2 linked regions of the Rattus norvegicus genome follow. The protein of the gene in region 2 purifies or fractionates together with the protein of the main gene of each other region. This does not show direct contact. Links are inferred from orthologs where the notes say so. Each region holds a gene or a part of one and is shown on either strand. Other genes may lie near its edges.

Region 1 (4,277 bases), on a different chromosome or scaffold from region 2:
CAAATTTGGCTGTCAATTTAGTTTGTTGTAGCCCTTAGCATCTAAATTCTGTATAAGACTTTAGACATGGACTCTCTGGTATTGAATTTTCATTGAAATAAAATTAGCTGCTTTCTGGAAGAAAATATAAGGTCATTTTCACTACAATTGAAGTTTTTACCAAGTCTAAAAGTTTATATATATGTACACACAAAGTTTTGTGTGAGTGTATCTGACTAGTGTACACATCTATTATTTTTCCTCCAGTGATAACAAATCCTGACCTGTTTCTTCTCGCTAATTTTGTCACTATTTCTGACTACCTAAGAAACTTCAAATATTCTAAGACTAATCACACAGCCTAGTTTAACAGATTGTCCAAAACTATCCAAGAGGGAGGTAGCGGTACCTGGCAATCTTTATTCTAGATTAGAACAGGGGCCTCCACTTAATGTTTCAGTCAAATCAAATGTTTCAATTTTTTAGTATAATAGACATCATTACACATTTACTATGATCTACAATTTGACATATGTAACACTACAAAAAACATCTAATTTTCTATGTATCTTTTTCACTTGTTAAACAGCTGAATATATTTAATACTTTTCAAAATGCACTTGTTAGCCATCTAATAAACAATTTGAAGCCAAACAAACAACAACAAAAAAAAAAACCTAAGTTACCTTTTTGTCTATTAACTGTAGCAATAAGGAGAGACAATTGAAGGGGAAGTACAACACCATCCCTGATACACTGAAAAGGTATTACACCTTGAATCTAAGAATGATCTGAAGGTGCTGAAAGAGGTGATTCTCTAGAAGGTGACCCAGGGTTTTCTTCAGGTGGAAAAACTGTGAGAGTGCAAGCCCGAATGCCACCAAGTGACTCTGGAAGATCAAAAACTTTATGCCACTCATCTTTTTCTGGGTCATATTTCTGGACAATTTCTACCATGCAGCGGTTATTCCAAGAATATCCACCAACAACGTAGATTTTGTTTTCGAAGACCGCAACTCCAACATCACTCTGACCTCTTAGCATAGCAGCAATTGGTGTCCACTGGTCAAGAGTTGGCGAATAGTATTCGCAGCTTAGGACATCATCATAATCACTTGTTCCTCTGAAATGGTTGCCACCAATGACATACAGCTTGTCTCCAACTGTACACATGCAATGCAGACCTCGGACTGTAGTCATAGGAGCCTTCTGTGTCCATTTGTCTGTATCTGGGTCAAAACACATGAGCTCATTTTGGAAAGTGTCATGGGTAATTCCTCCGGATATATACATTAAACCCCCATATACTGTTCCAGCATGGCCATAGTGGGGTTCACTCATTTTTGCAACATAGCTCCATTCATTCATTCTTGGGTTGTAACATTCTACTGTGGCCAGTTCACCAGCTGCACTGCGTCCACCAACTGCATATAAATGTCCTTTGAGTGCACTCAGGTGAAAAAATGTGCGCTTTTCGTTTAATGATGCCACCTGCATCCACTTATTATAACGAGGATCAAATCTGAAGACTGTATCAACAGCAGTTTTTCCTTTTGTGTCATAATTACTCTGACCACCAACTACATAAAGGAAGTTTCCAATAACAGCAATGCCGTGCTGGTATCGAGGAGCATCCATAGGGGCTAACGATTTCCACTCCTGCGCCCTTTCGTCGTACATCCGTAACTCTTTACTTACAACCAGCTGTTGCCTCAAAACTCCTCCTAACGTAACCAAATGAGTAGAATCTGATCGAATGGCAGTTCTGTCTGACTGCATCACTGGCTGCATATATGGCATCATTTGGTAATTGCTTGCTTCCAAAAGTAAATTCACACAGGTATTGTCAGTTCTCATGAAATCTACTGTCTGCACATAGTTGATGAGATCCTGTGGCGTCATCAGTGGGAAGCGAATATTCTTCATTAATTTTGCAGCATAGTCCATCCGAGGGTCTTCCAGCCTCAACCAGCGGCAGGCTGCCTTGAAGAGTTCAAGTTCAGAACAGTGCTTGAGACTATTGCTGGAAAGCACAAAGGCAAGCCGTTCAAAGGGGAGTTTTAGAAACTCCCCGGTACTCAACAAGGCAGGAAAGTTCTTCAGGATGAAATTATTTACGTATTTATCCACTTCTATAAGATTGTAGGTGTTAGCAATCCGTCCAACCTCAACACAGTTATCTAAGGAGACACCAGATATAAGAAATACTTTACAAAAATCCAAAACCGGCAAGATCTGTAGAAAGCTGGCAGCCTCAAGAGTATCCTGAAGATTGTCCATATTGAGAGAGAGTTTTGCAGTATAAATAAAATCAATGATTTTCTTCAGACCAACTTTGTTCACCCCATGAAGCTTAATGCACATTAGATCTTTCTCCTTCATTCCTCCTGTGAACATGGCCTTGAAATAATCACTGGCAGACGCCATCATGGCTCTATGAACTGGGAAGATTTCCTCTCCATCGCCTGGTACCAGAGTCACGTCACAAAGCAGTCCCTCTATTCTGAGCTGATCAAAGCCTTGCAATACAACAGAACTGTGCGTATTGCTGGTAAAAAACCGCGTAGTTCCAGCCTTGCAAGGCTGCAGGTGGGCAGAGACGCCCATCTCGCCGTTACCGAGCGACACCTTCATGGGAGAACCCGGAGCTCGCAGCAAGCTGCAGGCCGCAGACGTTACAAAGAGAACGCTCTGGGGAAACGCAGGGCCGCCGAACAGGCAAGCGGTCGCCGCAGCACCGCACTGGGCACACCGACGTCCGCCCTGCAGCAGCACCACGCACGTCAAATCTGACAGTAGAGTCGGTGAGTCATCACCTGAGGCAGTTACGTGACCGCTTCACCTCGTCCGGCCCGGGTTGTCGTCCTTCGCCGCTGCGCTCAGGGTGGGGGAGGGGCCGTCACGGCCTGCGCACCCGGGCTGCCGCCCTCCAAGGTTCAGCACCTCAGCGAGCTGCGGCTGCGACTTCTGCGGTCTTCGATGTGTCTCTGCGGCCACCGGCTTGGCTTGGAGCAGGGCCTGGAATTCCGACTTGGGCCTAGAACGGCGGCCTAGCACCGACGCCCAGCTCGACCTTCCGGAAAGGCCGAATCCCAGGATCCCCCGGGCTAGGAGCAGCTGCACAGCTAATGCGCCTGCGCGGCTGACCTGGCTAGGGGGCGGTGGATGGGGGAAGGGCGCGGGCGGGACTGGGGGCGGGGTTCCGCCCGGCCAGCCAGGCCTGCGGAGAAGCCATTATGTAAGCATTCAGGAATGCTCGTGCGTGTGCTTAAGCTTGCAGTGGTAGGTTTTCTTAGCACTTTTTTTAGAGCGCATTCTTTTCAAGATTTACGCCAATGGTCCTTGCCAGAACAGCAACGAAACGCAGCCTTTGTTCAAACAGAAGAAACCTGGCAAGGGAAATCAGTGTATCATTTTAATGTTCTTTTCTTCAAGAACAGTTTTACAGTTTGCATCACACTCGATTTAATAAACATCTCAATTAAAATTTTGTTTGTAAGATTTTAAAAAAAACTTTTAAAACACATGACATTTAACTTGTCACTAAATTTTGGTCCTAATGATACATTTTGAATATTTGGCAGGAGAGTAATGCCTTCAAAAAAAAATACCTGTTTTCAGGGGTTTGCTTTCCAAACACTATTATGATCTGTAATAACGGTCTGAAATAACCTTAGAGGATTTGAACACAAAACTTTACCCTCTTTTGGATAATAATATTTGGTAGAATATTCAAGTCAATGTTTCCAAAATATTGTACCACCAATGCCTGGGTCTGTGTTTCCCTTGTGTTGAACTTTGCTTTTATAAGTATTTTTTTATTAACATGCAGTTGTTTAGCTACTGGCAGATTTTAATTTTGATTTAAGAAAAAAGTAAATAATTTGCCATAATTCTCAATTCTCGAAGTTTGAAGTTGTTGCTGTCTTTTAAATCCTTCTAGGGTTTACCTGTATGCAAACTAAGAATATACTTATATTTTTCTGTTCCACTTCCTGACTCTTTTCTAAATGGCATGTATCCTACTTGATTTTTCTTTCCAGTTCAAGATTTTCCAAAATTGGTATATAGAGAGCTTACTTACAACTTGTTGGTGACCAAAAAATGTATGCAACTGATTTACTTAACTATAAGTGGTTAATCTTCCTTTAATTTCTCCTTCCTTCTTCTCCCTGTGGTTTCTGGACAATTGCAGCAATCCAAGGAAACCAGTAGGACAACATTCTTTTCCCCAAACTAGGAGAACAACACCGTGGTCGTCATTACCCCCACCACTCCCATCCCCCCAGGTGCTCTAG
Region 2 (3,425 bases):
AGTCTGAGATCTAAGTGGATTTTGAGAGACACAGCATTGTATACTGATGAAAGCCTGCGTTCTAAGGGCTTGGAAGCCTGTTAAACAATGAGGAGGGATGGGTGTAGGCCAGTTTTATGTCAACTTGACACAGCCTTAGTCATCTGAGAGGAGGGAATCTCCACTGGAAAAGTGCTTCTATAAGATCTGGCCATAGACAAGCCTGATCTAAAACTAGGCATTTTCTTAACTAGTGACTGCTAGGGGAATACCCAGCCCATGTGGGTGTTGTTATCCCTGGGCTGCTGGTCTTGGGTTCTGTAAGAAGGCAGGCTGAGCAAGCCAGGAGAAGTGGGCATTCCTCCATGGCCCCATTAGCCCCTGCCTCTAGATTCCTGCCCCACTTGAGTTCATGCCCCGACTTTCTTCAATGACCGATTATAGCATAGAAGTATAAGCCAGATATACAAACCCTTTCCTCCCCAAGTTCCTTTTGGTCATGGAGTTTAATCAAGGCAATAGTAACCCCAAGAAAAGGAATCCCCAGCAGGGTGGTTCAGGATTCTGAATGGGTCTTTATAGTAATAATAAAAATTAATAGCTTATAGAATTTCTAAAAGTAGTGACAGGTCATGAGGAACAACCCAGAGAATTTGGTTTTAGTGTTAACCACGTACAGGGACTCAGGACTCATGGCCAGAAGTCAAGGGTAATGACCACTCACGGCAGTGTCCTAACAGTGAACGTCACAGACAGACCCAGAACTGCTTAAATACAGATTTATTGCAAACCAACACCGAGGAGCCAGAGCGACTTTGCAGGCTGGACACCCCACTCTTTGGGTCTTTGGACAAAGGGGACAGAGTCACCCTGCTTTCCTCAGACCTCAGCTGGTGGGACTTAAAGGCCAAACTGTGGCTGTCGTGTCTAAAAAGAGAAAACAGGCAATGTGCCAGCTTCAGTGGCTTGGAAACCAGGGTAGGGCCTCAGGGCAAAGAACAGGGCATAGAACTATCTACTCGGCTGGTTGGGATTGAGTCTCCCTGTAATGCAGACATGTAGACACAGTAGCCACCACCACACCATGCACATGCCACAGGGATCAGTCACAGAGCACAGGTTCCTGCCACATGGCCTCTACACAAATACTATATCCCTCAGGCTGTTTTCTCTATACAGCCTTGTTTGCTCAAATGGGGCATCGACAAAGAAAAAAACATAACACGGAAAATAAAACCATGCTAAAATGATGAAGATGAGTCGCTACAGAGTGAAGCATTGTCCTAAATAGAAAGATGCAGGGCTCTTCCACATCATTACTCCTTCTGCAAGACTACCCACAGGATGAGAGCTGAGAGGGAGGCAGCCAGCTGAGAGAGAGGGCTGCAGATACATACACACCACGAGACTTCCTTCACTAGGTGGGAGAGCTTGCATGGGACAGGGACATGCACATCCTAGGACCTTGATGGAAACTTCAAGAACTAAAAGCGAAGTGTCCTGGGGATCTTGTGAATGTGACAGAGTCTACTCCCAAATGATGACCTCTTTAGAGAGATGTCATCAACCTGGTAACCAATGTCCAATCACAAGCTCAGACGCTGGAGTTGGTATTTAGGTTCCGATGCTACCCCTTGCCTACCACCATGGTCTACCTGGGCCCACAGATTAAATCCCAGTATGGACTTTTAAGAAATAAACCAGAAATCCCTCAAATGATAGCAACGAGCCAGCTCCTGTCTAAACAGTTGAGTAAGTTCTACAATCTGCTCTTCCAAGGGCTCCTTCCAAGCACGTGGACATGGAATTCGGTGCAGGGCTATTTCCAGAGAGCAGGCTGTTTGGCTTCAATGGGTCTTAATTCTTGCAGTTTGTATGGTTGGTTACCAGAGTACAGAAACCAGTGCTGTGCACACCAAGACTGAGAACCAGGCAAATGGAGATGCCAAGGCACCAACAGCCACAGAGAGAGTCCTTAAAGGGTTGGGACACCTGGGTCCTGGTCCCTTGCTCAGATTCTTACCCCTTGGCTGGACTGGCCACACAGGCTCTGAGCTCTAGGAAGCAGTCTGGTGATTGGCACAGGGAAATCTTCATTTTCTTGGACTCAACTGTAGTTGCCTTCAAGCTAGTGGATACACATTTCTTCCTGAGGCATCCTTCAGGGTCAAAGCTCCTTAGGGAGTGTAGTTGACACGATCTGCCAATGAACTACCAATATGCTGTGATCTCTTCTTGAAGGTACCCAGGCTTCAATGCAGCATACCCAAAGAGGAGGTCTAATGGGGGGAAGCAAGTAGTGGTGGCTAGTCTTAGTTCACTTCAACAAGGATCAAAGCAGGCAGCTGCAGTCAGAGGACAGACAGGATCCTTGCCACACCTGGGCCAGAGGCCAGAACCTCAAACTTTCTCCCAACATCTCAAACAGACCCTAGTTTCTGCTGCTCTACCCATAAAACTGAGGCAGGCCAAGTGTTTTCACAAAGAAATGAACAAGATGGAAAACATACACACACAGCACACAAACACATATGAGAGAGAGAGAGAGAGAGAGACAGACAGACAGACAGACAGACAGACAGACAGACAGGTCAACAAGTGAGGGAACCCCACAGCAGCCCCAGAAGGAGCCCCAGAGCCATGCCCCATTAGCCCTCATGCATGTGCCTGGCCCCACACAATTCAACTTAGCTTTGTCTGAGCCCAGCCACTCCTTATCCCCAATCAGAAGACAAGCAAGCAGAATAGCGTCAAAACAACAGCAAGCAGAGAGAACAGGGGAGAAAGGAAATGCTGCCTGCAGTGCCTGGTTGCTGTGGAGACAGAACATGTGCTACCAGTAGGCTGGGCCATGTCCCTCCTGCATGTCAAACACCTTCATTTAGTGTTGGCCATAGACACTGCCAAGCAGCTGGCCCTGCACCTTCTCTAGAATAGTCTGAAGGTGGAAGGTCAGCAGGGAAGGCCTGGTTCATCATGAAAGAAAAAATGGCTAGGACTGATCAGGAGGGGTGAGTCCCTGGCATGCAGGGAGCGAGGAGGACAACTCTCCATCTCCCCGATGGCGAGGGTTTCCTTTACTTCCGGTCATTAAAACTGCACAGCCCCTGGGGAGATGTTGAACATGGCCGGGTCGAATCGCTGGCCTCGGAAGGGAGAGCCTTCAGCATCCCACCCCTTCTTCAGCATCTCATGGACTTTCTACAAACAGAAAATAGAGAGATTAAAGGAGATCACAAGGCACTGCATGCTTTCTCCTAGAACAGACTGCCTGCAGGCAAAGAGACATCCTGCTTCTTCAGGGCTTGAGGATTTGCCTGCTAGGGCCAAATGGCCAGAGGACAGCAGGCCCTGCAGTAAGTAGTTTGTGCCCAAGGGAGGCACCTACTGACTGCCATTCCTCTGAACGAGTCTTTGCTCTCCCAAGACTGAACTTCTAGCTTTCC

What was found.
Region 1: the proteins of Nudcd3 (region 2) and Klhl9 purify together in Homo sapiens (co-immunoprecipitation; 3 studies listed by BioGRID and IntAct, with this or other methods). This does not show direct contact. The link is inferred for Rattus norvegicus from reciprocal best matches to the Homo sapiens genes NUDCD3 and KLHL9.

The regions. Positions count from the first base shown.
Region 1 is NC_086023.1:108,450,617-108,454,893, forward strand, and holds the start of Klhl9 (kelch-like protein 9), read right to left. Parts: upstream 3,061-4,277; 5' UTR 2,614-3,060; coding exon 760-2,613; 3' UTR 1-759.
Region 2 is NC_086032.1:85,189,532-85,192,956, forward strand, and holds the end of Nudcd3 (nudC domain-containing protein 3), read right to left. Parts: intron 3,181-3,425; coding exon 3,070-3,180; 3' UTR 745-3,069; downstream 1-744.